Linked DNA regions of Cricetulus griseus. The protein of the gene in region 2 interacts with the protein of the main gene of each other region in a pairwise test. Links are inferred from orthologs where the notes say so. Each region holds a gene or a part of one and is shown on either strand. Other genes may lie near its edges.

Region 1 (5,213 bases), on a different chromosome or scaffold from region 2:
CCTATGAAGCAAACAGATCTCTGAGTAGAGACCAGCCTGATCTACAGAGAGGAGTGCCAGGACTGTACAGAAACACCATGTATGTGTTGGGGGGGGGGGGCGGTCAAAATGTTAAATTAGGTGAAAGCATTACAAATATCCACTGTAGTGTTGGACCACTTTCATTAGTTTGAGTTTAGTTTGGATTTTTGAGTTTTGTTTGTTGAGACAGGGTTTCCCTGTGTAGTCCTGCCTATCCTGAACTCATTCTATAGACCAGCTAGCCTTGACATCCACCTGCCTCTGCCTCCCAGAGTACTGGGATTAAAGGTGTGTGTCACCAAGCGCAGCTCTTTAAAAGAGTTTTAATGTCTGAAGAACTTAAATGAATTGTTTCTTGCAGCACTAGCTGCTCTAACTTCCAATTACAATAGTTTTAGATTCTGTTAGCAATACAATTCCTGCATAATCCCAAGGACTGGGATGCACAGAAGTTACAATTAAATAGAAGGAGGGAGTTAGGTGTTCTACTATAGTGACTATAGATAACAAGAATGTAACTTAAGTAGGCAGAGTCCAAGTAGCTCAGCGGGAGGGTGATTTTCAGCCATGCTAATCTTCCAGAACTCCAGGATCTTGGATTCATGGGCGGGTGAACAGCAGCATTTTAACATTTCCAGGCGAGGCCCCGAGTTCTCTGTACGGTTCCCATGGTTTCCCCTTGCTTTGTGCAGTTCATCATTTGCTGCCACTGATCTAGCTCTTCCAGGCTCCCGACTTCCCATGTGTAGATGGTTCTTTCTTGGCGACTAGACAGAGCATGAGCGTTGCCGAGCTTTGCTTTCCCCATTCTCAGTGAGTGGGTCCAGGATGACCAGATGTAGCCGTGCTTGACGGCCCAAAGAATCAAATGCAGCCTGGTTTATGGGGACCACCCATCTAACTGCTCTCGAGATGAGATTGTCCTTTCTCACAATATAAGGACTGGGAACCAAGAACCCATTTGATTTTTCAGTGTAACACAAGGCATGCACATGAACCTGCTAGGTATTCAACCAAAAACTGATTAAAAAAAAAAAGTGAACAAATGCATGAATCAAACACGTAAAACAGGGAAAGCCATTATCACTGTAAACTACCAAACACTGAACTTGTGGTTCTGATGGTGGTGGGGGTATCTTTTCGGTACAGAAGGAAAGACTCAGGTCTGTAAGAGAAATAGTGTAAGAAAGACTCCAAATCTGGGCTTCCAGTGGGACACCAGAAACAGTAGGATCCATGAAAGGGGATGTCTCTTCTCCAGTGAGCAGCACAGCTGGATGGAGGGAACTCCCTAAGCCGCAAGTATATTTTAAGCTGCATCTCTCAAAATGTCAAAAGTGGGATTAAAGTGTAAATGATTGTCAATTAAAAAAAAAGAATGTAATTCTGCTCTAAAGCAACTGGAAAGGTGGCTATGTAAGTTCTCATGACAAAGAAATGACAAATATTTGAGATAACAAAATGCTAATTACCCTGATTTTGATCATTATAAGTATATGTAAATTAAAACATTATGTATCAACTAAAAAAAAAAAACTTAAGGAAAAAGAAAAAGTGACCAATTCCAAGACAAACCCACGATTTAAAAAAAAAAAAAAAAAAAACTGAATTGCTAAATTTAATGTGTGACCTTAAGCAAGTTTCCTCCTGAGACATGGAGTCCACATCTACAAGAGCAAGGTGTCCAAAGACACATTCTTAATGCTGGAGTGAAAGGGAAAGCTAGGTAATGAAGACAACATATTGACAACCCATAGGGAAATGCAAGGCCTTTTGTTTGTGTTTGTTTTTGAGACAGGGGTTTCACTGTGTAGCTCTGGAGCCTGCTCTGTAGACCAGGCTGGCCTCTGGCTCCCAGTGTGTCCCACCACTGCCCAGTGACAAAGGTATGTTTAACAGGATTTCCAAACGGATGAAATCTATTAGAATGAAATGAAAATCTATCTGTTCAGTGAATCCTTATTCTGAAAAACTAGGCAGCATTATTTAAGGGAGTGGGGTGAGGGGAACTAAATCTATTCAATATGGTGCGCCTGAAGAGTTACTTCAGAACAAAACCAAAGAAACTCTGGAATTATCTTGGAAAGCTGATCTTGCTCTTGAAATTTTAAGGTATTAACACCCAGGACAAATTTTTAATGGGGCTTGCTGCTGTTTAATTGGTTTGTTTTTGTTCTTTTGCGACAGGGTGTCCTGTAGCCTAGGCTGGCCTTGAATCTTCTATGTAGAGGATGATGACCTTGAATGTCTCATCCTCTTGCCTCCACCTTGAGTGCTAGGATTACAGGGATGTTGGGACTGGAACCTGGGCTTCCTACATGCTAGACAGGCACTCTGAATCAACAGCATCCCCAGCACCCAAGTTTCATGTTCTTAAGCTGTAGAGCGGACACAAGCACACAGCTTCAGAAACAGACAGTTGTGGAATTAAACCTCGGCCTTCATCTCCTCTGCTGTGTCTCTCAGGCCAAAGTACTTCTCTGAGCCACAAGATTGTCATCAGTGACAACTGGTCTTAATGACAACCCCAGTGCTGCTGACAAGTCTAACGACCTTCGGTCAACATCTGCCACACTCTAAATATCAAGAAGCAAAGGGACAGAAAGAAGTCGGTACTACGCTAGGGTCTACATAGAAATGGAAGTCCTCTAGAACATTTCTTCCTTGCTCTCCCGGCAAACCAGCTGAAAAACTTAAAACTCGTTAACCAGCAGTCACCACCGGGACTGATGGATCAAAAAGAGGACAGTAGGTAGGCCGTCTCTGCTGGCGTTCCGAAGTCCTTCTCTCCAACGACAGCTCCGGGGACAGCGAAGTTCACCTGAAGGGCATCCCCCTTACCCAAAAGGGGCCCGGAAGCGTCGGCCCTCGGCCAGGACGGCCCCAGCCTCCTTTGGGCGCGCCCAGCCACGCTCCCGGAGCCGGGGCCGGCAGCCAGGGCTCCGGGCCGGGCCTCCTGAGGACGCAGGCTGCCGCGGAGCGGAGCTACCCGAGCGCCGGCTCGCACTGCTGGCTCGCAGCCTCACCGCTGAGCCCCGCACGACGCCCGGGACGCGCCGGCGCCGCGGACACCCCCCGCGGCCGAACCGCGACCCCGCGCCTCTCCCGCCGACTCTCGAGGCTGAGGAGGACCGGACCGACTTACCTGGGCGGCGGCCCGCAGTGTAGCCTGCGGCCGGTGGCTCCTCAGGACGGCAGCGGCCAACTGCCGGCCGTAGAACATGGACGCCGCCATCTCTGAGTCCGACCGGTCCCCTTGGCACCGCGCAGGCGCGGAGACGAGTCGTGCGCCGAGCCCGCGACCCTGAACAATCCCGGGGGGGGCGGGGCCTCGGGTTAACCCTGTCGCTGCCGGACTGGCCTGGATTGGCAAGCTCAGAGCAATCTTTGACCCTCAGAGCTTTCACCTCAGCCTCAGAGTGTGCCCTGTGGCCAAAGGGCCACCAGAACACTTCCTAGAGAACCGCAGCGTCGTCGCCACTTCGATCTTCTTGTTTTCCCTGAGCCCTGGTGGACTCACCTGTAGAGTGGGGTTAATTCTTGACAGTGAATGCATGTGTTGAGCCTTTAGGATACCATAGCTTCAATAAAAGAAAATAGACAGCGCCCTGATACTTGAAAGTTTGTCACTCACTAAAGCTGACTGAACTCTGAAAACATTAGCAAAATGTCTTCGAAAGAGAGCTGGAGGGGTGGCAGACCTCAGCACCCATGTCAGGAGGGACACCACTGCCTGTGGGATCTAAAACCCTCTTCTGGCCCCCCTAGGCACCTGCACCCACGAGCACATACACGAAGTAGCACACACATACAATTAAAAGAAAATACTATCACTTTTTAACTGGAAAATATATTAAGTGAGGTAACCCAAGACCCAGAAAGATGTATTACATGTCCTCGCCCCTGTGTCCTATTAGTTACCACACCCCTACTGCAAGCATATATTATTTTCTCCCCTATGGGCTCCTCTGTAGTTTCCTGACCTCTAACCCTTACTCACACATAAATACATATGAAATTTAAAGATATGATGGTTGTGTGGTAACTAACAGGACACAAGTGAGAAGGGACAGGGGGGTAAGAGAGAAGAGGAGGGGAATCTACCAATACTACACATAAAAATATCGTAAGGAAACCTGCTAGCTGTATGCTAATTTTTAAGGATACACCCACCCCAACACATGCCTGGTGATGTATGCCTGCAATCACAGCTTCCATACTGGAAGCTGTGGCAGGAGATTAAAGACTTCCAGACTACTCTAAAACTCACAGTGAGACCCTGTCTTATAGAAAAGAAAGAAAGGGGAAATGTCCAACATAAATGGGACCTATCAGCATCCTGTCATGGAGAAAGCGAGAGTCTCATGAGGCCCCACTCCTCCCTGAGGATTAATTGACAGTTAACGGTTAATGTTGGAGAGTCAGTTTCTTCTGTGGAGTAGCCTGCACTCCTGTAACAAGCCTACTGAAACCCATTCAGTCATCAAAGAAAACACATGAATGTGAAGTGAGATTATTTGGGAAGAGGAAGGGGATCTGCAGAACTGGGAGGGAAACAAAAGAAGAAAACAGTTGAATATGACCAAAATAGATTATATATTGGGCTAGAGAGATGGCTCAGCAGTTATGAGCACTGGCTGCTCTTCCAAAGTATTCAAGTGTGATTCCCAGCACACACATGGCAGCTCACACCATTTGTAACTCCAGTTCCAGAGGACCTGATGCTCTCTTCTGGCCTCCAAGGGTACCAGTCACGCATGTGGTACACAGACATGCATGCAGGCAAACCACCCATACACATAAAATGAAATTTTTAAATGTATCAAATACAAGTCTGAAATGCTGTAATGAAACCTATTATTATGTACAGCTGATTTATGCTAATTAAACAAAGCAAAAAAGAAAGCATCATAGGCCCCACCCAAGGGAAATTAGGGCATTTTTATTAGAATCTCTGGTGCAGCAGACACACATATCATCCTAATTTCACTTCCTGGCACTGTGATAAAACACTGACAAAAGACAGGAAAGGGTTATTTGGCTCACAATTGCAGGTTACAGTCCATCATTGTGGGAGATCAAGATGATAAGAACACAAACAACTAGACATATTATATGCACAGTTCAGAGCAGAAAACAACTACTGCCTTGTTCACAAGTTCTCAGCTGTTTTTCACAATTGCATATAATCC
Region 2 (4,475 bases):
ATTCTTTCCTTCTTGGCCCAGCTTATTCCAAATGTCTCCACATGAGCCTTGGAATGATAGACCCTCAAGAGAGCACTCACCCCAGTCTTTAAAGGGGGCCTTACGTTATGGCCAGAGGTAACAAAGGATGGCTATGGTTTCAGTCACATATAGCTGACCTGAGCAGTTGCCACAGATGCATGGTTAAAGACCAGTGTTTTTCTTTTGTTTTTGTTTTCGAGCAGGGTTTCTCTGTGTAGCTTTGGAGCCTGTCCTGGCACTCGCTCTGGAGACCGGCTGGCCTTGAACTCAAGAGATCTGCCTGCCTCTGCCTCCTGAGTGCTGGGATTAAAGGCGTGCGCCACCAACGCCCAGCGACCAGTGTTTCTTTTTATGATTTTGAACCAAGTCTTTCTTTGTAGTCAAAGCTGGGCTTGAGATTACAAGATAGCAATTTGAAAGCCTCAGACAACCATAGGAGTTATGATGACCTTGGCCTGAGACCTCTAGTCTGTTCTCAAATGAGACCCCAAGTTATAGCATCCAACTTGAGGTGTAATTTCAAAAGGCAGACAAAAGTCATCTCCCGATTAATATCAACCACCTGTGTTGGAAGCAAAGGTACAAGCTCTTTTGAGCCTCTTCTGTCCCTGCTGATCCCTCCCCTCAGACTTTGGAATCTCAGTGTTTTCCTTTCTGTCTAGCACCGTGCCTAGGTGTTTCTTTCAAGACTGCCTTAGAGGGCATGGGCTTATAATGACAACAGGGAAGTTACTAACCAGATTCATAAACTCGAACAGTTAACAACACAATTGAGATAAAGAGGTTCCAGCTTTTTTTTTATTATTATTTTTTCCCCTTTTACACAAAACAAAGTAGAAGAAATGATTAAAACTGCCAAAGTAGTTAATTGGTAGAACATATATTATTCACACATATACACACACACAAAACTCCAGGTAGGAAGACAGGCTTATTTACAAGAAGACATGTATAATTAAGGTGGATGTCATGAAACATTAAGAAAAAAACCAAACATGCTACAACAGGTGCCACTGTTTACAGTGCTGGGGAGGTGAGAAAACAGAGGCAGACCCAAGGTGCAGGCTTCACAGCATCAGTGCAATGGATCCACAAACTATGTTATAGCTAGTTCATGGGCTAAAGACTTGTTCCCCAATGTGTCCTATTTTGGCCCTCAGAGGTTCAGTCCTGCAGATTTCAACTGCTCTAAAAGTCTACCTACTGAAAGGGCATGTGATCACAGTAAGCTTAAGTAAGGAGTTACAGACGCTACACAGAGCAGTCACCCGTCAGCAGTCTGCTCTCAGCTACAACCCTGCAAAGGGAAAGTCAAACACCAGTGTAGACACTGCTTCCACGTATAAATCTAGAGCCACTGAAATACAGCCAGCATTATCGGGTAGGAGTGGGAATATATGAGAATTTCCGGGCTTCCTTTTAAAAGATTTGTTTTTCTTTTTCTTTGTTTTTTCCCTGGTCTTAAAAATTAATGGATGTTCTAGTTTTCTGAGTGAACAAAGAGGACATTTATATCCTTGGCTGGCCTAGGAGTAAAGTCCCTGAAATTTTAAGTCAGCTGAAAATCTGGAACAAAGAGAGTGCTAAAATTTCCAAATACAATCTTCTGAAGTTTGTTGTTCCAAAGCTGTTAAAGGACTAACTTGAAGCAATGCAAAGGAAATGAGAGGTCAGATTCCTCCTGTGAACAAAGGGGCAATGCTTCCTAAAGCTGCTACATCTCATACAACAGAGAACTCATACACTAGTGTGTGGAATTTTATACTATCCCATGGGCATTCTCCCACAGTGGAAAATCAGGAATGAAACTTAAAATGGTCTCTTCATCGAAAGTGGTAAACCTGGTCTCTGTACTCACAAAGAGACAATTTGTTAAGCAGACTGTGGAAGCAGACAGTAGAACCAGCTTCCTGTAGCCACAGACCACTACCTTGAATATAGCTAAAGCAAACATCAACTATTACCCTAAGTCATAGTTCACTGTACGAAAGAGCAAAGTTCACCACTTCAGTATTTTAAAGGAAGTTGATAAAAATAAAAATTCAATAAAACAAGTTATACGGCTGGGAATACACACAGCTACACCTGACACTAGACATAGCACAAAGCCTGGCCTGTGTGAATCTCTATTAACAGGAACAGAGGGAGGGAAGCAAAGAGCCACTGTAACATTTTAGTATCCAGACAGCACTGTACAACTGTTCCCAGGGGCAGGGCGCACTCCACCGAAGCTGCATTATTCATTTTTCTTTTCTTTTTGCTTGAGAAGCTTGTTTATCTCCCTTTTGGCCATTCCAATGTACTTCAAAATGATTCCGTGTTGGTTTAGTCCAGGAAGCAACAGCATAAAAGTCACTTGAAATAAAGAAATGAAGTTGAGGAAGCAGTATTTAACTCACAGACTCTGGAGGAAGTAACATGAAATGCACTGTCCCATCAGGATTCAGTCCCAGAAACTCCAGCTAAAATGCCTCTCTACTGCCTATGCACTCATGCTCATGCATTATGCTATCTTACTACCCTTGTCTTTACTTCCCACAAGGCTTTAATAAACTCCCTGAAAACAAGGGCCAGACTTCTTTAAGATTTTTATTTTATGGGTATACACAAGTGATTTGCCTAAATGCTGGCTATCAGATTCCCTAAGACTGGAGTTATAGGCTGTTGTGAGCCAGCTTGTGAATGCTAGACATGGAATCAAACAAATGCTTTTAACCGTGAAGCCCTATCTTAAGTCCTGACTTGAAATCTTTTTGCTCTTGAGAAAAGATAGCAGGGCGGCTGTAGTGCACGCCTTTAATCCCAGCACTTGGGACACAGAGACAGGCGGATCTCTGTGAGGTCAGCCTGGTCTACAAATCGAGTTCCAGGACAGGCTACAAAACTACACAGAGAGAAAAAACCCAAAGAGAGAGGGAGAAAGGAGAAAGGAGAAAGAGAGAGAGAGAGAGAGTGAGAGAGAGAGAGAAAGAGAGAGAGAAAGAGAGAGAGGATCTCATGTAGCCCAGGCTGATTGTGAATGTGACATGACCTTGAATTTCTGCTCCTTCTGTATCTAGGTCCTTAGTTTTGGGATTAGTTTTGTCTAATACTGGGTATCAAATCTAGGGCTTGGGACACACAGAGCTATGTCCCCAGCACAGGCTGGAGTCTTCAGTCTTCACCTTGCTACACTTCCACAGGCCTGTGAATACTCACTTATCTATTTATTGACTACACTATACAGACATCCCTGTTAAGACCCATGCAAGATGTTTCCTCAGTGACTTACCAATAAGGTAGGTAAGAAGCAAGTTGTGGACTTGCTGCCCCACCCAAGCAACCGCAGCAAGAGAAACAATCATGGTCATGAAGTACTGTTAAGGAAAAGAACAAGAACTTGTCAGCTCTAAGCAGCAGACTAACACGGGCAGCTCTGAAGGCTTGCTTCACTCCTCTACACTGTGCACAGGTGACCAAAGCACCGAGGCTTATCTACAGAGGACCAAAGCATCATGATGCACTCCATTACACATACAGCTTCACTTGTGGGCTTAACCAGTTTTCTTTTAAAGGCTGGGAAAATAAGATCATTTTTATTACCTTTGTTTTATAGAATGTATATATATTTCCTCTTTAAAATAAAAACTATGTTACCTTTCTTGTTAGCAACTTTCCACCAAAACCAAAGCTAAGATATAATAACACGGTTTTTTGTTGTTCTTGTTTCTTGTAACTTGTTCTGTATACCAGGCTGGCCTCAAACTCAGAGATATCCACCTGCCTCTGCCTCCTGAGTGCCAGGGTTAAAGGCATGTGCTGCCACCGCCCAGTTTGGGAGCATTTCTTATTTATTTATTTATTTATTTATTTATTTATTTATTTATTATGTATACAATGTTCTGCCTGCATGTATGCCCGCAGGCCAGAAGAGGGCACCAGATATCATTATAGATGGTTGTAAGCCACCATGTGGTTGCTGGGAATTGAACTCAGGACCTCTGGAAGAGCAGGCAGTGCTCTTAACCTCTGAGCCATTTCTCCAGCCCCGAGAACATGTTTTTATGTATATGTCTTTTACTTCAGCAAGACGGGGGGGGGGGGGGGGGGGATGGGGGGGGGGGACGACGACTTACATCCACTATAATAAAAAGTTATATACAAAATGTAAATTTTACCTTTCAATGATTTAGCTACCTCATATAACATTTATGAATATATGTAGGCATTACACCAAAGGATAATAAGTACTGAACTTCACTCCTAAAAAGGCTGTCACTAGACTGAAATTACAACAAACTCAGTATTTTGCTTCACATTCCAATAAGTAAAACAAACAAACAAATAAATAACAAAATACCATTTTAGGCTTCTCTTCCTTTAGAGAAAAGAGGCGTTTCCACCAGCCCACAGCTCTGCGTCGAGTTTTTACTAGATTACTGCAGATTTCATGAAATCTTTGCTGTTGTTCAGTG
Region 3 (4,928 bases), on a different chromosome or scaffold from region 2:
AAATAAGAAACTGGAGGCTAGTGAGATTATTGGGCAAGTAAAGGTGCCTGCATCCAAATCTGACAGCCTGAGTTCCACTTCTAGAATCCATATGGTAGGAGAGAACTTAGTCCTGCATGTTGTCCCCTGACATGTCCTGCAACCCTTCCCCTGAACAAAGAATAAATAAATAGAAACATTGTTTCAAAAATTGTAAAGGGACCAGGCAGCAGTGGTGTACGACTTTAATCCCAGCACATGGGGAGACAGAGGGAGGCGGATATCTCTGAGTTCGAAGACAGCCTGGTCTCAGAGTTCCAGGACAGACTCCAAAGGATATACAGAGAAACCCTATCTCAGAAAAATTTTTAAAAAATGTAAAGGAGCTAGAAAGCATTTAAGAACACTTGTTCATACAAAGGACCCAAATTCAATTCCCAGCTCCCCTGTGGCAGCTCACCACTATCCATAACTCCAGTTCCAGGATGCACATGATACACAGACATAAAATAAATAAATCTTCTTTTAAAGTTTTTAATTTAAAAACTGCCATTTTGTGGGCTTTGACTAAAGAACAAATCAACAAAAACCTGTTCTTTCCTTTCCCTCAAAGAATGGCAAAAATATTGTCCATCACAGCACCTAGCCATCTAAGAAAAAAGCTACTACATATAAGGCTAGTCCTTGGGCTCCAAACTACAATCATATATGGAAGCCAGAATTGTATAACACAGGATATTGAGGGCTTTGGGGTTCTGCTCAGCACAAAATAAAGTAAAAGGAGAGAAAAAAAAAACACAAAATTCAAGTCCACATTGACACATCCATATGAGCCAGGCCTAGTGGTGCACGCCTTTAATTCCAGTATTTGGGAGGCAGAGGCAGGTGGATTTCTTGAGTTTAAGGCCAGCCTAGTCTACAAAGTGAGTTCCAGGGGGCTGGAGAGATAACTCAGAGGTTAAGAGCACTGGCTGCTCTTCCAGAGATCCTAGGTTCAATTCCCAGCAATCACATGGTGGCTCAAAACCATCTGTTATGAGATCTGGTGCCCTCTTCTGGTATGCATATATACATGGAAGCAGAATGCTGTATACATAATAAATAAATAAAATATTAAAAAAACAAAGTGAGTTCTAGGACAGCCAGGGCAACACAGAGCAACCTTGTCTCGGAGGAAAAAAAGAAAAGAAACATCCATATCAATATGTATAATGATGTGAGGCCACCATAGCACCTTTCCATACTCCTCAGGCAGGCAGGATCCATTCCTGAATAAAATTAAAGAGAATAGCTTCATCAATATTTATTATATGGAGCTGAAGGTGTAGATCAATGGAGGAGTGTGCTCAGCATGCATGACCTGAATTAAATCCCTAGCACCAGAAAAATAAATACAAATGATTTTACATATTTTTTCCAAAAGCTAGTTCAATAAAACAGTAAAAGCCTCAAATCAACTCAAATCCACAGAATGAAGAACCACCATCAACTCTATCAACATTATATAACTAGAACTGTGAAAGGGACTGATAAAAAAGCTCAGTGTACATTTCGCATAAGTTTTGCAACTAAGCCTTGACCAAGTGGTGGAAGAACATGGACTTTGGAGTTAGAGACTTGGTTTCAAATCCCAGCCCTATCTGATACTGTTATTTGCACTTGGAAAAACTACTAAAACTACATGCTTTCCTGATTTTTACTTTTTAAAAATGTATACAAAAACTAAAACCTACCCAGGTTTACTGACTCACGCCTTTAATCTCAGCACTTGGGAGGCAGAGGCAGGCAGATCTCTGTGAGTATGAAGCCAGTCTGGTCTACAGAGCTAGTTCCAGGGCAGCCAAAGCTGTTACACAGAGAAACAACAAAAAAACAAAGAAAGAAACAAGCTTTCTTCATGCTGCTATCACTTTTACCCCTTCAGTTTAGGGAGTACCATTTCTCCCTAAGATTGTCAAGCACAGGTAGAATACACATTCTTATTCAATTCTTCTAAAAAAATGAGAGTACCATATGTCTCTTGGATCTTCAATGCTATTCAAGAGGGATGCTATTCACAAAGAATATCCTGGGTGTGTAAACTGAGAAGAAAATGCAAGGAAAACTTTTTTAAAAAATGGTTCTTAATTTGTTTTAACGTGTACCACTTCAACAGGGAAAAAAAACTTGTGAACCAGGTACTCTATCTGCACATTCCATCCTTGCCCTATGGACTAAGCACTGTGGACTAAGAGAATAAAGTCCCCTGGGGTGCAAACTGGAAGAAGCCATTCCTAGAGCAGTTCTGAAATGTCATGTATTAAAGTAAATACAGACCAGGGACAGAAAAAGGCAAATGGCGTTTTACAAAAAAAAAAAAAAAAAAAAAAAAAAAAAAAAAAAAAATGAGAGCCAATAAAAACTGAAGTAAACATTCGGGATACTTCAAATCTAAAGGATCAGCAGAGGATGGGAGCAGCAACTGACAATCCACCAATCCCAGTGCAGGGCCGGGTTTCACGTAAGACACGGCATTGTGGTACCTAAGAAACTTAAGCATAAAACATTTCTCTCTTTCAGATGTAAATCTTAAACAAGTCAGCAAAGCATTCAGTCTCAAGATTGCCTTTCTATTTCTGCTCTCTCTCACAAGCCCGCCGTCTCCCTTTCCAGTAGTCTTTCCTAGAACTAAAAGGGTTTTTTTTTTTTTTAATTCCATCATCCCAGAGAGATCTCATTAGAAAGAAGCCCAGACTTCCCGTTCCCTCACCCCCACCCCCGCCTTTAGATTGACTTCCATAACCTAGTTCAGTTATGGGACCCAGCAATAAATCGCCTTGGTTTTCCATCCCCCAGCCTTCTTCCACCCTCCCCTTTTGTCCCTCTGTCAATCAAGATCCCAATCTACTTGAATTCCTCACTAATCTTTGTCCATCTTCCACACCCTGTCCAGCCATGCTTTACTTCTGCCTCGTGAGTACTTGTTTTCCTGCGCCCCCGCCCGAAGTCCCCTCTGGAGTTTTCTGTACCCTCGGGCCACAACTGAGTCTGCAACCTTCTCTTCAAACCTTTCAAGCCCTAACGCTCATGTGACCCCCTCCAAGCTTCCCCGCCGTTAGTCGTCCCCATGCCCCCTCCCCTCCCGCGTCGTCCGCCCTCAGCTGTCTCCCTCACCCCGTGACTCACCCGCATGCGAACCTCATAGGTGGTGAAGCGCGCGCGGCCCACGCCCACCGTCTGTGGATTAAAGATGTCTATCTCCAGGAAGTTACTTGGCGGCCCATAAGCATCAGTCAGGTCCTGAGGCTTCGAGTTAAGGCGCCGAGTGTCAGCCACTGCCGTGTCCGACATCTTTTCGAAGAAGAGACCCGTACCGGTGAAGGGGGTGGGGGACAGAAGCCTGAGGCAAGAGCGAGCACGGCCCCTCCCGCTTGCAAAATAACCAGCCAACCCACAGACAGCGGCGACGCGCACGCGCACACGCATGCGTGCACGTACACACCGCCCAAGCCTTCAGGCCCGTCGCCCTGAATAACCACCATGCTGACTAGGGTTTATACCTTAGCGTGAAAGCGTCATTCAGACTTCCGGGTGGTACTGGTAAATGCCCCGGAACCTGCATCTGTAATACTCCATATCCAATGCTTTCAGAAGCACCACACTCAGGCTCCACCAATCTGTGTTCCTCAAATTCCAGAAACTGTCTCGTCCCGTGCATCAATCAGCAGTGGGCACTGCCCCGCGAGCTATTATCCATAGGTGATAGGCTGAAACCCCAGGTCCTAAATAAGTACATTCCATGAAAATAGGAGAATGGTTTCTGGAAGGTGGGGTTCCAACAACAGTACCAAAAAAATGTAGAATGCAGCCCCACCTCTTGTGCCACTGATAGTTTCAGTTCAAGCTACACACAATTGAGTATTCGATAAGAAATACATTATGGTGCCAGAGAAGCAGCAAATTCGAATTGGGTGAACAATAATGATTTCATATTCTCGCTTTTCAGGAATAGTGGGTGTATCTTCATTCTCCACATGTTGCTACATAACAACTAATTCCAGGTGTACTCATTTCTTTTATTTCAGGGCACTTATTTCGTAATTTCTGTCTATATTCTGAAGAACTCCATCCACACTTGGCTATGCTCTGAGCTTCCTTGCAACCTATGATGAAGATATGTGTCTATATGAGAACATCTATAGAAAAACATAAATACATATGTATAAAATGTATTTGCACACAGGTACATGCTGAGACAGAGTCTTACATTTATCCCAGCTGGCCAGGCACTTGCTATGTAGGCCAGGCTAGCCTCAAACTTGTAGCAATGCTCTTGACGATGCCTCTTGGTTTCTGGTATTACTGGTCTGTGTCACCATGTCCAGCTAGGAATATTAGTTATGTGATGTTTTGGTTTTGTTTTGTTTTGAAACATTGTCTTACGTATTCCAGGCTGTTTTCAAACTCACTTTGTAGCTGAGAATGACCTTGTACTTCTGACCCTCCTACCTGTGTCTCCCAAATGTTGCGATTATAGGCATGCTCCACTACACCCAGTTTTGCACAGTGCTGGGGATCAAATTCAGGGTCTATCAAACAAGCTACATCCCCAGTCCTTCAATATACATTTTAAAAAACTGGCTTATGCATGTCCAATATTTTTTAATTATTTTATTATTATTTTGATTTTAAATAAGTATTTTTATGTGTCTGCATAGATGTTCATGAAGCAGGTCCATGCAGTGCCCAAGGAGTCCATAGGAGGAGGTCAGATCCCCTGGACCTGAAGTTATAGATGGTTGTGAACCACCATATGAGTGCTCGAAATCAAAGCTGGGTCTCTGCAGGTGTAGCCAGTGCTCTTAACCACTAAGACATTTCTCCAGTGCTACATGTCCCATATTAAGGGGTAGACAAGTGGAAATTTTAGGTCATCTTTCCTTTTCCCTTCACCTAACTTCCCCTCCTAA
Region 4 (5,272 bases), on a different chromosome or scaffold from region 2:
CATTCAGCCCACCTGATCTGCTGACTATGAGATGACTGAGCTCTAAAGAGACCAAACCAGGCCCTCTGAGAAGCCCTCCTAATTCTGTTACTGCCCAGCTGTGAACTGCATATCCTTTGCCTGACTGTGCGATGCTGTAACAGGAACCTAAGGGAAGGTTCCTTCTTGCAGATTCTTATGGCCAAGAGCACTTGGCCCACCTGGAAAGGTTCAAATACATGTCTTGCGTGGCATTCCCCTGCTTTGAGGGCAGAACTAGAGTCCCTAGTAGGGATGAGGTGACAGTCCAGGACTTAAGTTTAGGCTGACTTTGAAAAAGCTCTCTGGCCTGGCAAGGGGCAGAGAATTCTAAACTTAATGGAACCCTTCCTCATTCTCTGGCCTCTTTCTACAGGGACACAACACTGGTCTGCTACCTTTGAGAATCACTACACTGAACTTCCAGGAGACAGTAAATGTAGACAGACCAATATTAAAACTCTAATTACAATGCTGATAGGATAGTGGTCTCTTATCTCAAAGCAAAGGAAATATTTTGAGAGGGTTGTTAAAATTGTAATTTTTTTTTTTTTGAGAAAGGATTTCACTGTGTATCCCCAACTGAGAACTCACTCTGTAGACCAGGCTGGCCTCTAACTCACAGAGAGCAGAGCCCCCCCGCCCCCGCTAAAACTGTAAATTGTTTTAAAACACAAAGTAAATTACCATCAATCTTATATTGAAACCATCGTGCACAGATTCAGTCATTAACACTAAAACAAAGAACACAATCCTTTGCAAAATCCATTTATCTTAAATATTAACAAGTTTAGTATCTAAGATGTTTAAACTATTTTTATATCATAACTTTAACAACTTTTAGAGATTCTTATTATTTGAATAGTTTCATGCAAAATGTAATATAGTCAATTTACCTCTTCTGTCTCCCTTAAGCTACTACTTTTTTTAAATGAAAGCAACTAGCAGTTAATTCTGAAATACTTTACACTAGGACACCAACTAAAGACATTTTCTAGAACAATTTCTGTAGGAGAGAATATCAAAAATATGTGAAACCACCAGATGATAGCGCACACCTTTAATCCCAGCACTCAGGAGGAAGACAGAACTCTGAGTTCAAGGTGTACATAGTGAGTTCCAAGCCAGCAAGGGCTACACAGTGATAGGTGAAACCTCATTTCAAAACAGACACACAAACAAAAACTTCAATCAATTTGTTAAAGTTTACTTCTAGAATCAACCCATTTACGGTAGAAATTATTCACAGTTTTAGAGTCAGGTGCAATTCACAAACCAAACCACAGCACAAACACGTAGGCAGGCACACAAGGACCCCGAGTCACCCACTTCTTTCCCATAGCAATGGGTAGAAGGTAGTCCTTACCAAAAGCCTTCCGTATAATTCACAACTACCTCAGTATTGCAACAGGACACGTTATAACTAATCTTGATGGGTAAGAGATTTTGCCCAGCTGTGAGTACACGTTTGTAAAGACAAGTGAGCCTAACACTTGTGCTAGTTCGGCAGTAATGAAAGGCGAGACAGTTACCAAATGTTGCATGTGACCAGCTGACGGCTATGAAGAAGAAGAAGAAGAAGAAAAAAAAAGCTGCAAAGGGAAAGCAGCTGTAGCAGTATGAAAAGGAAAGTTTGTTCTAGCTCTCTTTCATCCACTTAGGTCGGATGCTTTTCCAAGTCACAAAAGAAACATTGTGTCTATGGCCCAGAAAGTTAGCTGAGATTGTGACCAAACTGGTCAGGATGAAAAAAGAATGTGAGCGGTGAGCTCAGCACAGATGCGATTTCTCATGATTCAGTTCTTTACAAAAACAAAAGCACTTGTTCAGGCTGGTGAGGAAAGGGCCAGAGATAAGCTTTAATCATGATTAAGGAAACCCCTCCTCCGGGATGCTGAGGACACCTGGTCCTTTCTGGACTTTGTGTTGCTGGATGTGAGCATGCACGTGGAGTCTCAGCAGAACCTGCACTTTACAGCTGAGGAAATCAGCTTTACAAATGTTAACTCACATGGTCACATATGGCTGGTCCTTTATCTCAATCTATAGTGGACTTACATAGGGATAATCTGTGATTATTACAGCCAATAAAAAAAGCATTAGACCTTGAAAGCCTCTAGGTGACACAACTATGATTATCGGTACCAGGAACTGAACCTATGGCCTCGGGAATGCTAAGCATGAGCTTCTGCCACTAAACTACACCCAAAGAACCACAGTTGGCTATTTACTGCAGATCTTCACCCCACCCCCAGCACACCCATATGTATTAAATAGCTATCTTTCGGGGGCGATTTCTTCAGGGAAAATTCATCCCTCTTTCTCCAGGAACCTATCCACTTGTCTCTAAATGCCATGACAGGAGATGCTGCCTGCATGACATCTTCTGACACCTCTTCTCAAGATCCTGTTGTAAATGCCTTTTGAAAAATTCAGACAGTATTAGAGGACTTCCCAATCCTTAGAATCCTTGCACGAAGAGTAGCTGGACAATTGCAGATAGAGACAAAGCAACTGCATCAGCACCTAACAACTAACTTCCTGGGAAAAGAAAAACGAGACACTCGCTAGCCCTGCAATGTTTCTCATGACTCTCTAACAAGCCTCATGCCCGGTCTAAGGCAGGATCTCCAGAACTGGCCTCTACTCGCAGTCCTTAAAAGTTTACTGAAACCAAATGCTTCTGAGCTTCTGCCGCACAGCCCCAAGTTGGGTGGTACAAGAAGATGAAGATGTCCGGTTAAGGTTTTGGGCACCAACCCCCATTGGGGCCTCCCTGAGTCCCACTAGTTATAGCCATAGCCACACAATAGTGGACCCACAGGCACACCGACCATCCGCAATGAACCGAGGCTGGGCCTTAGACACAGACACAAACACACACGGATATGGATCACGTGCATGGTCACAAGGACCGGCCCACCCGTGGACGACACTCACTAGTCACGCATGCTCGATACACACCCACCTACAACCCTACACGCACCACACACCCTCACTCCGCTTTCCAAGGCCTGCCCCTCACCTGCCGTGGCCACCCCCGCGTCCCTTTCTCTCCAGCCCAAACGGCTCTTCGGCCCGGTTCGGGCGCTGCGGAGGCAGGCGGCAGGGCGCGGGTGGGCCGGGCGGCTGCAGAGCAGAGGCTCCGCGGGCGCAGCAGGTAGAGGGGGCGCGCGGCTGAGCAGCCAGAGGCCGCCGCCTCCCAGGTCTGAATCCCGTAGCTCCCTGGGGCGCGCCTCCCGCTTCCGGGTTCTGAGGGGCGGGGCCGGACAGCGAGGAAGGGGCGGGGCTCTGGCGGTAACTATGACAACGAGGCTGGCGTGGAGCCCCGGATGGGAGCTTCTGTGCTCGCCCGAGCGCAAATGTATTGGAGCAATGCAGAAGCTGGCGCCAGTGCTGGCGTTGGGTCAGGGTCCGTCCTAGGTCACCTGTCTGACATAAGCACCAGGAGAAAGCTATGGCAGTGAAGTCTGTGCTTCTGCCTTCAGTTTTCGGGTGGCTCGTGCTTCGGGGGAGACATCTTTGGGTTCTAGCTTTGGTGAATAGAGCTTGATGTATTTGGTTGGTTGGTTTGGTTTACTTTTTGGTTTTGGTTTTTCGAAGCAGGGTTTCTCTGTGTAGCCCTGGCTGTCCTAGAACTCGCTTTGTAGACCAGGCTGGCCTTGAACACACAGAGATCGTCCTGCCTCTGCGCACTTCCCGCCTTGTGCATGCGCTACCACCGCCCGGCTATATATTCTTTTTTAATTAGCATAAGTTAATTAAATCACAATAACGGCTTCATTAGGACATTTTCATATCTACATAAAGTATTCTGGTCATCACCCTGTTAGTCTTTATCTTCCTCTCATGCTCCCATCTCCTCCCTCTTCTTAACTACATACTTTTTCTCAACAGAACTAGTTTTCTCTGTACAGTTACAGAGATCCTCCTCAGACCTCCTGTCCAAACTGTCTCCTTTTGCGGCTTTGTGCTGATGTTGAGGGGAACATACTCAACACTAGGCTTGCCCTCAGACACAGGTCCTCTTCTGTAAGGCTCACTCTAATCACTGTTCTTACAAAAGAGGGTGCAGATGTTATGACTCCTTTCAGTAAGTAGTTTTGCTCTGAAATAATGTATGATCATATTGAATTATCTGTAAATCTTGTTTGAAAAATTTTAAGAATCTTATAGCAAGATCTTAGTGTTTTAAGGAGAACTTAAAAATATATCTTTTTAAAAAAATTTTATTTATATAGCTTCACATGTCAATCCCTTCTCCCTCTCCCTCCCTCCCCAACCTCCCACCAGCCCCCCCTCCCCCCTCCACTCCCCAGGGAGGGTAGGGCTCTCCATGAGTGCTCCCCAAAGTCCACCACATCATCCTGGGCGGGATCTAGGCCCTTCCCTATGTGTCCAGGCCGAGACAGAGCATCCCTTCACGTGGGATGGGCTCTCAAAGTCCCTTCTTACACCAGAGAAAAATACTGATCCACTACCAGGGGCCCCATAGAGTGCCTAGGCCTCCTCATTAACATTCACGTTCAGGGGTCTGGATCAGTCCTGTACTGTCCTCCCAGACAGCATCTGGGGTCCATGTGCTCCCCCTTGTTCAGGCCAGCTGTTTCTGAGGGATTCACCAGCCTGGTACCGACCCCTTTGATCTTCACTCCTCCCTCTCTGCAACTGGGTTCCAGAGATCAGTTCAGTGTATAGCTGTGGGTGTCTGTCTCTGCTTCCATCAGCCACTGGATGAGGGCTCTAGGATGGCATAGAAAGTAGTCATCAGTCTCATAGGGGAAGGGCATTTAGAGTAGCCTCTCCACCATTGCCTAGATTGTCAGTTTGTGTCATCCTTGGAGATCTCTGGAAATCTCCCAGTGCCAGATCTCTCCTCGGACCTACAATGGCTCCCTCTGTTATGGTATCTCTCATCCTGCTCTCCTCTATTCTTCCCCCAACTCAACCAAAAATATATCTTTATTATTATTTATTTTTTATTATTATTATTTATTTTAATTGTGTGTGTGGGAGAGTATGTGGTCCACATGAGTGTAGTGTGTAAGGAGTGGAGAAGTGGGTTTTGGGTCCCCAAGAGCTGGCATTACAGCTAGGCATTTATGAATTGCCCAAGATGGGTGCAAGAGTAATATGCACTCTTAATCTCTGAGCCGTCTTTCAGCTCCTAGATTTTACTCCCCATCCTCGTGTGTGTGTGTGTGTGTGTGTGTGTGTGTGTGTGTGTGTGTGTGTGTGTTAGTTAGTGCCTACA
Region 5 (4,972 bases), on a different chromosome or scaffold from region 2:
TATCTGTTTACTGAGAAATACTGAATAATTCTTTTGTTTGTTTGGTCTGCTTTTATGAGTCAGGATCCAGGTTGGCCTGGAACTCAAGATCCTCCTGTCTAAGCCTCTCAAGTGCTGGGTGAAATGTATACCACCACACCTGGAATAATTGTTTTTGGATGTATGGCATGAAAGACTGGAAAATGCTACTTTCAAAGCTCTTCCCCTGAATGCTGTGGTGTGCATACTCACAGTCTCAGACCTTAAGCAAGCATACTACTTAGTCACAAGTTCAAGGCCAGCCTGAGCAACATAGGCAGAACCTATCTGAAAATAATAAAGTATTAAGACCCCTTTCTTATGTATTAATGTCCAACCCTCACTCCCCACTCCAGGATGTAGGTTGGGAAGGAACAAAGAGCATACCTGATGGGGAGATAACTGTTGGGAACCTGTGATGGTTTGAGTAAGAATGGCCTCCACAGGCTAATACATTTGAATGCTTAGTCATTAGGAGTGGCACTACTTGAGAAGGATTAGGTGTGGCCTTGAACAAAGTGTGTCACTGGGAATGACCAAGCCATGCCCAGTGTCACTTCTCCTGCCTGCCAATCTGGATATAGAACTGGATGCTACCTCTTTAGCACTATGTCTGCCTGAAGGCCAATATGCTCTCTACCATGATGATATGGACTATACCCTTGAAATCATAAGCAAGCCCCAATTATATGACTTCTTTTATAAGAGTTGCAGTGGTCATGGTGTCTCTTTGCAATAATGGAACAGTGACTAAGACAGTCCCCTACAGTCCAATAAAGGCCTAGTCCAGTGTTGCATCAGTGCCATTCCTAGCCAACCTGGTGGGAATGTATATATAGGCCTTCTTTGTCTTCAGGTCCCTACCTTGTCATAGAGGGTATCCACAATGCTGTCCTCTTCACTAGTGCCCAGCAACTGGGCCAGTAGCTTATGCCCAAAATGCAGATAGACAAGTCCCGCACTGCTCAACTTGGTCTGCCATGGCTTCCCAGGGCACAGGGAACTCATAGTTTCTGTAAAAGTCCTGAGGAGCACAGGGAAGGGCTACAGTGAAGGAGTTGGTTCAGGAGTCTAGTGTGTGCATACAAGTTTACATGTGGAGACCTGTGAATCGGTAGGATGGGGCATGCTGTACGAACAAGAAGAAAACCCACTCAAATGATGTTTGCTTTTCCTCCAGTGCCAACATAGGCCTTGGTTCAAAGCTTCTATTCCTGCATTCACTTGACAATGGTTGGAACTCATCACTTACTGAATGCCAGGCTTTGTGCTTTGCATATTAAGGAGAAAAACTAAGATCCTGTCCTTTCAAGTTCATCAGTGGGAGGTGGACAAAACAACAGAGCAACTGTAGTTCACAGGACCATGAGGACCTGACCTCCAGATGCTCAAGTCCTTTATGTAAAATAGGGCAGTGTTTGCCTATAAACTACACACATCCTCCTGTGTGTATATATGTATATTTTTTTTGTTTTGGAGTCAGGGTTTCTCTGTGTATCCCTGGCTGTTCTGGAACTCTGTAGACCAGGCTGGCCTCAACTCAGGAGATCTGCCTGCCTCGGCTCCCCGAGTACTGGGATTAAAAGTGAGTGCCACCATGACTAGCTATAATTTTTTTTCTGGATGGGAACAGGTCTTGTGTGATCCAGGCTAGGCTGAAACTTACTCACAGATGATAACCTTTAACTCTTGACCCTCCTGCCATTACTTCCTAAATGCTGGGGTTACAGGTGTGCACCACCTTCCTTACTTCTCCCATATTTTTTAGATCATCTCTAGATTACTTAATAGGATACAGATGTTAGGTAAGTAGGTGTTATACTTTAAAGAACAAGAAAAGCCTATTCACATTCCATACAGATGCTTTTTACTTAAACAAACAAACAAAAAAACAAAACAAGCCAGGGACTAGAGAGATGGCTCAAAGATTAAGAGCACTGGCTGCTCTACCAGAGGTCCTGAGTTCAATTCCCAGCAACCACATGGTGACTCAAAATAATCTATAATGAGATCTGGTGCTCTCTTCTGACATGCAGACAGAACACTGTACTCATAATAAATAGATTAAACAAGCCAGGCACAGTGGCACACACCTTTGATCCTAGTACTCGGGTGATAGAGGAAGGCAGATCTCTGTGAGTTCTAGTTCGAGGTCAGCCTGGTCTACAGAAAAGTTCCAGGGCAGCCAGGGCTGTACACAGAGAAACCCTATCTGGATAAACTACAAACAAACACAACAGAAGGGGACAAAATTTCCTGAACTGGAAGGAGGAGTCATGAAATTTTGGAGGTGGGAAGTGGGGACACTCAAGTTTGAGATGAGGGCGAAGGGTGGCAATGGTGCTGTGGGTAACAGCTCTCTTCTGTTGCCATGATAAAACACGGCAGAGACCAACATAGGGCAGCATCAGCCCACAGTTCACCACAGCAGGGAAGGGGCAGGAGTTTAAGAATCACATCTCACCCATAGGCAAAAGCAGAGAAAACTAACAAGCCTATGCATGCTTCTATTGCTTGGCTTACTTCTAACTCCCGCAGTCCAGGAATCAGTGCCCCGCCCCACATCAATCAAGGTAATCAAGGCATCCCACATAGGTGCCCACCAGCCAGCCTCAAGTGGATAATCCCTCACGGAACCACTTCCTAGGTGATTCTGAAATCCAGGTTGTGTCAAGTTGAAAATTAAAACTAACCATCACCGGGCTGGGGATGATAAAAGAGCTGGTTGCTCTTGCAGCCCCAGAGGCAGATTCAATACCTACATCCACATGGTGGCTCACAACCCTCCTTTAACTCCAGGGCAGCCCGACGCCTTCTGACTTCTGCGGGCACCAATGCACATGAATCCAGGCGAAACACACACACACACATTAAAATAAAAATGCACAAGACCACCGTAGTGGACTATCCTTGAATTAGAAGGATTCAGTTGCCTGCAGCAAGGTTTCAGTCCCAGAGCGATTAAGGAGTTTGGTTTCAACCACGAGGCAGTGGTGGACTTGGGCAGTAAAAGGCAGAATTGCAGCACAAACGAAAGATAAATCAAGGCAGTCAGAGAAGAGGTGTTTATGAACTCACCTCTGGTGATGATCGTAACGGTGTCTCAGAGGGTTGTACTCGCCACCCACATCCACCACGATGTCACAAGAAGCCAGTTTTTCGGGGTCCCGAGTCCGCACAATCTCTGCATCCTGCAGACACAGAAAGGAGGGGCTGTCAGGCAGGAGTCAGAGGATGAAGGGTGGGTTTCCAGAGGTGTGGTGCTCAGGTTAGTTTTCCTGGCCGTCCATACCTTGTACTCTGGCAGGAGGCGGAGCAACGCGCAGGCCAGAGCCTCATCGCAGTGGAAGGTGCCGTTGTGCGTCCCGATTCGCGGCGGTGCCATGAGGTTGCTGCGAGGCCTTTTAGGGGGCGAAACGGACTCTGAACCGAGCATGCGACGCTGGGTTTGGAGAAGTGACCGCAGCGGCAGCAACACTGTTAGGATATCACGCAGGAAACAACCCATAGGGTTCCCTCCCCTGGAAGGTTGACCCGGAAGAGGAAGTGTCTAGTGCATTTCACTTCCGCCTGCAAGCTATCCCCACGGCAACGACAAAAAAAAAAAAAAAAAAAAAAAAAGTGCACGCTTTCTTCCAGCTCCTCAAAGCCCCAAGTGGAACCTCGAAAGGCAGCGTGGCTGACCCATTTTCGTGTTCTAGGCGAAAGTACACCTCTGGACACTCCCAGTTCACCACCAGTCCCTTGTTTAACGCAAGAAAAGACCACCATTTGCCCACCTGGCGCATTTATTAACATTAAACACAAGACCCTCTCTTCCCAGACACCAATAGGCCACTCCCCACAAAGTCCTAGGCCCCTTGAAACAGGGTTCCTCTCTGCTTCTTTTCTGCAACATATCCTCATGCCTTGGCAGTCGCCTGAGTCGCCCCCAGGGCTGTGAGCTGCTGGATCTTCTGGCTCATCGTTTCCATGACAGCTAAGAGAGAAGGAGGAGAGTCATCCTAAGGGACTATACGGGAGAACCCAGGTGAGGAACACACACACAGTCTACACTGTGTCAGTCAGTACAATAACCGCTGGAATGTATGTCCAATGAGACTGTTTCAAAACAAAAACAAAAAGCCACCAACACTTCGATGGCTTTAACATCAAAAGCAGCTCTTCCTATACCCGTTTTCCAGACTGATTTAGTTGGTGTGAACTGGACCTGCACTTTCTTTTTAAACTTCCTGGAGGACTGCTATGTACAGCCGCCAATGTGGTAACTGCTAGTGTTTTCTTAGCAGATTTCTACTGTGTTTATAGACATTTTATCCCAACCCATTATCAGATTTCTTCTTAATCACTCAACCCCCAGGATAACACATCAGGACACCAAAGAGAAACAGAAACATCTTTTCTGTTGTTGAGACAATGTGTCTTTACATAGTGCTGGCTGGTCTCTAACTCAGAGATCTGCCTGCCTTTGCCTCTCAAGTGTTGGGATTAAAGGAAGTGAACCACTACATCTAGCAGAGACATGGTTTTAACTTGGAGAAGATACCTCCAAGGTTTTTTTTGTTTTGTTTTTGTTTTTGAGGGGGGGGGGGTCAAGACAGGACTTCTCTGTGGCCCTGGAGACTGTCCTGGAACTAGCTCTTGTAGACCAGGGTGGTCTGGAACTCACAGAGATATGCCTGCCTCTGCCTCCCGAGTATTGGGATTAAAGGCGTGGGCCACTGTCCAGCTTTGTTTATTTTTAAGATTTATTTAATCATGTAGACAGTGTTATGTCTGCATGTATGCCTGCAGAAGAGGGTACCAGATCTCATCATAGATGGTTATGAGCAACCATGTGATTGCTGGGAATTGAACTCAGGACCTCAGGAAGAGCAGCCAGTGCTCTTAATCTCTGAGCCATCTCTCCAGCCCTAATACCTCCAAGTTTTATGTTATTATCCATGTTCTTTTT
Region 6 (5,079 bases), about 8.2 Mb from region 2:
CAATGACAACACCAGTGCCAATGGTCTTGTTGCCATCCCTCAAAGTGAAACGCTGGCCTTTCTCTAAGATCATGGGCTGCCGCAAAACTAGGCTGAGCTTTAAATCCTCTCCAGGCATGGCAAGCTCCTAATAGAGGGAGAAGGAAAAGGCAGTCACCAGGATACCTCTAGCAGCCAAGGGAAAATGAGAAAATGCAACAGGCTGAAAAGGCTACCTGGGAAAAGCTCCATCCTTCCCTCCCAGCTGCTAGACACATGCAAACAGTACAAAAATTAAAGGGACCATGATCAGGAATTTGGTATTAGTTTCAGTATTAGTTTTAGTCATCAGGAGTATTCTGAGCCTCCCTTGTTTCACAAAACACAGCAGGAAGAAACAAAACACACCCTTTTCTACGGCATGTTTCTCTGGGAATGCTGGTATTGCTAAACTTTCAGCTTAATCTGGTCTAGGGAATACTGGATGAGGACTCATCCTGTCCTTTCCAAAGAAAGGGCGAACTACTGTGTCATGATACATCTTTAGGTAGAAGTCCTTTTTTTTCTTCTTTGAGATGGTTTCTCTGTGTAGCCCTGGCTGTTCTGGAACTCACTCTGTAGAACAGGTTGGCCTTGAACTCTGCCTTCTGAGTGCTGGGATTAAAAGCGTGCACCACCACCGCCCAGTTCTACTCCTTTTACATCCTCTAAGTCCCATCATACCTTCCCTGGAGGCAAGATGACACGACAGGCCATGTCCCAAGTCAGGGAGAACATGACAGGCATAAAATGAGATACAAATGGTTTGTGGCGGCCACCCTCCTCCTTGGTGAGGATGTAAACCTAGAGGAGAGGAGCAAGGGTAGAATGAATGGTCTTCTCAAAGTCCTGCTTCTATGGAAGCAACAACCTGGCCTAGCCCTGCCCAACCATCACCTGGAGCCCTCACCTGGGCCTCCACCTTCTGGTGGGGCTGGATGGAGCCTGGCTTGACCATGACCAAGCCTCGCCTCAAATCTTCCCGCTTTAGGCCTCGGACCAGAGCACCCAGGTTATCCCCTGCCTCAGCCCTCTCAAGGCTCTTGTGGAACATCTCAATGCCTAGGAAGAAGACAGAGAAGGTAGTGTAAGGCAGAAGGAAGGCACAAGCCCTACATGCAAAAGGATCATTCTGAGATCACCCCAGGGTCTGAAGCCTTCCTTTGTTATACCTGTCACTATTGTGCGAATGTTCTTGTTATGTCCTAGCAACTCACACTCATCTCCCTTCTTCAAAATGCCACGCTCTAGTGTACCTGTCACCACCGTGCCCCGGCCTGGAAAGAAAAAGGGCAGGTCACCAGGGACCCCAGGTTAGGTGGTCCCTATGGGGAGGGGGTACAAGTGAGCACAGGCCTCACCAGGAATAGAATAAACTGACTCTATGGGGAGCAGAAAGGGCTTCTCCAGGTCCCGGGTGGGCACTGGGATGTAAGTGTCCACTGCATCCAGCAGCTTCTGTACTGACTTCACACCTAGCTCAGGGTCACGTTGCTGTTGGAGAGATAACAGGACTGAAATTTCTGCTCCTCGGGTACAAAGGAAGAAACCTCTACCCCATCCTCTAACAGCAAGCAGCAGTCCCTGCTTTCACCTCAAGGGCGCAGAGAGCAGAGCCTACGATGACTGGGGCCTCCTCTCCTTTATATCCAAACTCGGTGAGCAGCTCACGGATCTCCAGCTCCACCAGCTCCACCATCTCTGAGTCCTGGACAGCATCTGCCTTGTTCACGTACACCACAACATGCTCTACCCCAATCTGCAAGTGAGAAAGAGGCTGAGATGGTATCGTCCGTTACCCAACTTCTCACTTAACTTCCGTCCCACTCAGACCCTGGTACCTGTTTAGCCAGTAGTAAGTGCTCTCGGGTCTGGGGCATGGGGCCGTCATTAGCTGCCACCACCAGGATGCAGCCATCCAGCGGGGCAGTGCCTGTGATCATATTCTGGGTGGAAGAGGAAGAAAGTTTAGTTCAAGGACTTCTTCAATGGTGCACTGTCTACTACTATATAGGTAGTTGTGAAGATCACCACCACTCTGCCATGTCCTCGCCACCCACAGCCGCAGCCGCAGCCACAAATCACTGTTCTCATATCCAAACACCGCCACTATCTTGTAACCTCCCCTCAAACCTCCACTGACCTGAAGCAGGTTCTGATTGTCCCCAGCAACCCTCACCTTAACATAATCTGCATGACCAGGGCAGTCTGTGTGGGCATAGTGTCGGGCAGCAGTGCTATACTCCACATGAGCTGCATTGATGGTGATACCCCGAGCTCGCTCCTCAGGGGCATTGTCTATCTCCTCGTACTTCTTGAACTTAGCTCCACCTCCCTCGGCTAGAACTACCGGAGGAAGAGAACACACCTCTCAACTCGGGTTCAGAGCTGCAGGCAAGGCTCGGGGCACACGCCTGGATCCCTCATACATTAACAATCCGGATGGGTAAAGCTCTCTAATCTCCAATTCTTTTAGGAGATATAACTTTGCAGGGGGAGGGGGTTATCGACAGAAAGACTTGTTCAAGGGGTCTGTCCTTGTCACGGACGCTTTAACCGCTCCACTGACAGGTCTCTTTAAAATCTCTCCACACAGAAAGAAGCCATTCAGACTGTTTCAGGTTGTGCCTCACAGAGCTCTTCTTGCACAGGGAAACCTGTCTCTGAATCTTCCAAAACAGTTCTCGTCTGAAGTGTCTTTTGGCGCCAAGCTAAACTTCAGCGGACTACAGACACCCTACTCCCCAACTCTGGTCCTTCCAGCTGACAGGGCAATGTCGGACGCCCCCAACCAAACCCAACCCAACCCAAACTCACTCACTTTTCGTGATGGCCGCGGTCAGGGTGGTCTTGCCGTGGTCCACATGGCCAATGGTACCCACATTCACATGGGGCTTGTCACGCACGTAGGTTTTCTTGGCCTCCACGGCTAGGCCGCGACATAAGAAGGGCGATGCCCGGGCCTTCAGCGGCCGCAGCCGACCTTGCAGAATTGGGGTCGGGCTGGCGCAGAGACCTGCGGTGAAAGGAGCTTGGAGTCAAGGGAGTGGGCCCAAACCCAGCTACCTCGACGCCCCTCGGGTCTCCAGGCTGCCTTCCCCCAGCCCGCCTCCTCACCGCTGAAGCGGGGCGTCGCTCGCAATAGGGTAGCGGCCGCCATTGTGGTAGTACTCGGCGACCCGGACCGAGAATTAGGGACCGGGAAGCCGCGCGTGCAGGGAAGGACGGGCACTCGCGACTAGAGATCACTTCCGGCGGAAACCAGGGCGGGAGAGCGAGTCTGGGAACCTCTAGCCGCCGGTTTTTATGGTCATGGCCACTGATATCCGGGCGTGAGGCGGAAGAGGAGGATTCTAGTGTCTCGCGGAGAAGAGAGAATTTCCACAATTCGGCCTGAGGGGTCGTTTTAGGAAAACGCGCAGCATCCCACAATGCACAGCGCACGCCAAGGCTTATGGGCATTGTAGTTTGCAGGGCGGCAGGCGTTAGCTAGGGCTGGGTTCGGCCGTGGGGAAAATCTCCCCCAAGCCCATGAGAAGCAAAATTAAGTAGTTAGGGATGCGGTCAGAGGGTTCCAGTCCTTGGCCCTTAAATACCGCCCCCATGTCTCTTGCAGGGATCCTGTGCTTCCTAGCATTCCGAAGTCACATTCTCCTCCCCCCAATAGTCCTTTGGTCGCTTGAGAAGCAGTTTTCTTTCTTTTTTTCTTCTTTCCTTCTCCCCTCCTTCCTTTCGAGACAGGGCCTCACTACATATCCATGGCTGATCTGGAACTCGCCATGTAGTTTAGGCTGGCCTTCCAACTCTAGAGAGATGCGCCTGTCTCGGTGCTGGGATTAAGAGCGTCCACCGCAACGCCCCGATAAATTTTCTTGCTGGTATCTGCACCTGCCCTGTTTTGTGTGAAGACCAACTTTGAGAGCTTCTGATCACCTGAGTCTTTTGTCTCCAAAGTGCAGCACGTGACGGATACCCGGTAAATGCCAGCTGACTAAAAGAATAAGTGTGAGGGTAGTGATGACTTGAACTTTCACATCCGTGCCTTCTCGCAGCTTCCTCGCCTCTCCCCAGGCGGTAAAAGAAGCTACTTAACTCTCGACTTCTTTCTGAAATCTACCCTATCAAAGCTCAATTGACAGTATTTGTTCCAAATGCTGTAGATTCCCTAATTCCATCCCTAGAGAGATGATAATTCAGAGTCTAGGCACAAACGAGGAACCTATATATATCACACCTCTTCCAAAAATCAAACTGAGCTAGATACAGGCACACACAGGCATTATGCTGGCCTGCCGCTGTCACCTGGCAGGATACACTCAGGAGTACCTTGGTCAGCATGCAGGTGCAAAGGACACCTTTAAAAGAAAGAGTCCCGCCCACTTACACACTGTTCCCCTCGCTTTCCTGCTGTTCACCTGGGGCCGACAGGACTTGTCCTGTCTCCCTCTTCTCTTCTGTCCTCACTCTTTCTCTGTGTCTCTTTACATCTTTTATCTTTCCTTCCCTCCCTTCCCTTTCTAATAAAACTTCTCACTAAGCTCTGTCTGCCTGGCGTGTTTGTCCCCCGCCTGGGCCACCAATGCCTGCCATGAAATCCGCCAAGGTTCCCCTCACGCTTGCTTTAACATAACCCTTATGATCCCAGCACTTAAGATGCTGAGGCAGGAAATCAAGTTCTACGAACTGAGCACAGATTGAAAAGGCAAAAATAAACAACAATCAGTTAAAGTGTTACTAGGATTTTTTGCTACGACCCTCAGTCTTTATGAACTTTTTATCTAAAGAATCCAGAAGACAGAGAAACCCTGTCTTGAAAAACAAAACGAAACAAAACAAAATCCAGAAGAGGAGCTGGAGAGATGGCTCAGTTAAGAGCACTGGCTGGCTTTGCAAAAGGCCTGGGCATAGTTCCTAGCTCTGCATAGCAGCTCACAACCATCTGTAACTCCAGTTCTAGAGGATCTGGCACCCTCTACTAGCCTCTGTGGACTCCAGACATGCACACAGTGCACTTACGAACATGCAGGCAAAACACTCATACACCTGAATCTTTAATAATAA

The links.
Region 1: the proteins of Arl6ip1 (region 2) and Sucla2 interact in binary tests that used the Homo sapiens proteins (3 or more experiments, as listed by UniProt). The two-hybrid records come from large-scale screens. The link is inferred for Cricetulus griseus from reciprocal best matches to the Homo sapiens genes ARL6IP1 and SUCLA2.
Region 3: the proteins of Arl6ip1 (region 2) and Snx12 interact in binary tests that used the Homo sapiens proteins (3 or more experiments, as listed by UniProt). The two-hybrid records come from large-scale screens. The link is inferred for Cricetulus griseus from reciprocal best matches to the Homo sapiens genes ARL6IP1 and SNX12.
Region 4: the proteins of Arl6ip1 (region 2) and Spg21 interact in binary tests that used the Homo sapiens proteins (3 or more experiments, as listed by UniProt). The two-hybrid records come from large-scale screens. The link is inferred for Cricetulus griseus from reciprocal best matches to the Homo sapiens genes ARL6IP1 and SPG21.
Region 5: the proteins of Arl6ip1 (region 2) and Myg1 interact in binary tests that used the Homo sapiens proteins (3 or more experiments, as listed by UniProt). The two-hybrid records come from large-scale screens. The link is inferred for Cricetulus griseus from reciprocal best matches to the Homo sapiens genes ARL6IP1 and MYG1.
Region 6: the proteins of Arl6ip1 (region 2) and Tufm interact in binary tests that used the Homo sapiens proteins (3 or more experiments, as listed by UniProt). The two-hybrid records come from large-scale screens. The link is inferred for Cricetulus griseus from reciprocal best matches to the Homo sapiens genes ARL6IP1 and TUFM.

The regions. Positions count from the first base shown.
Region 1 is NW_023276807.1:228,053,089-228,058,301, reverse strand, and holds the start of Sucla2 (succinate--CoA ligase [ADP-forming] subunit beta, mitochondrial), read right to left. Parts: upstream 3,315-5,213; 5' UTR 3,257-3,314; coding exon 3,167-3,256; intron 1-3,166. UniProt on the Homo sapiens protein: ATP-specific succinyl-CoA synthetase functions in the citric acid cycle (TCA), coupling the hydrolysis of succinyl-CoA to the synthesis of ATP and thus represents the only step of substrate-level phosphorylation in the TCA.
Region 2 is NC_048596.1:82,519,546-82,524,020, reverse strand, and holds the end of Arl6ip1 (ADP-ribosylation factor-like protein 6-interacting protein 1), read right to left. Parts: coding exon 4,361-4,475; intron 3,378-4,360; coding exon 3,293-3,377; intron 2,377-3,292; coding exon 2,258-2,376; 3' UTR 792-2,257; downstream 1-791. UniProt on the Homo sapiens protein: Positively regulates SLC1A1/EAAC1-mediated glutamate transport by increasing its affinity for glutamate in a PKC activity-dependent manner.
Region 3 is NC_048604.1:69,026,437-69,031,364, reverse strand, and holds the start of Snx12 (sorting nexin-12), read right to left. Parts: upstream 3,419-4,928; 5' UTR 3,310-3,418; coding exon 3,145-3,309; intron 1-3,144. UniProt on the Homo sapiens protein: May be involved in several stages of intracellular trafficking.
Region 4 is NC_048597.1:177,057,607-177,062,878, reverse strand, and holds the start of Spg21 (maspardin), read right to left. Parts: upstream 3,263-5,272; 5' UTR 3,044-3,262; intron 1-3,043. UniProt on the Homo sapiens protein: May play a role as a negative regulatory factor in CD4-dependent T-cell activation.
Region 5 is NC_048595.1:398,710,253-398,715,224, reverse strand, and holds the start of Myg1 (MYG1 exonuclease), read right to left. Parts: upstream 3,565-4,972; 5' UTR 3,527-3,564; coding exon 3,311-3,526; intron 3,210-3,310; coding exon 3,097-3,209; intron 1,043-3,096; coding exon 883-1,042; intron 1-882. Other genes in the region: Pfdn5 (prefoldin subunit 5), read right to left, coding at 3,921-3,997. UniProt on the Homo sapiens protein: 3'-5' RNA exonuclease which cleaves in situ on specific transcripts in both nucleus and mitochondrion. Involved in regulating spatially segregated organellar RNA processing, acts as a coordinator of nucleo-mitochondrial crosstalk.
Region 6 is NC_048596.1:74,281,811-74,286,889, forward strand, and holds the start of Tufm (elongation factor Tu, mitochondrial), read right to left. Parts: upstream 3,296-5,079; 5' UTR 3,179-3,295; coding exon 3,136-3,178; intron 3,035-3,135; coding exon 2,840-3,034; intron 2,365-2,839; coding exon 2,198-2,364; intron 1,965-2,197; coding exon 1,860-1,964; intron 1,778-1,859; coding exon 1,613-1,777; intron 1,513-1,612; coding exon 1,380-1,512; intron 1,296-1,379; coding exon 1,191-1,295; intron 1,081-1,190; coding exon 929-1,080; intron 823-928; coding exon 703-822; intron 128-702; coding exon 1-127. UniProt on the Homo sapiens protein: GTP hydrolase that promotes the GTP-dependent binding of aminoacyl-tRNA to the A-site of ribosomes during protein biosynthesis. Also plays a role in the regulation of autophagy and innate immunity.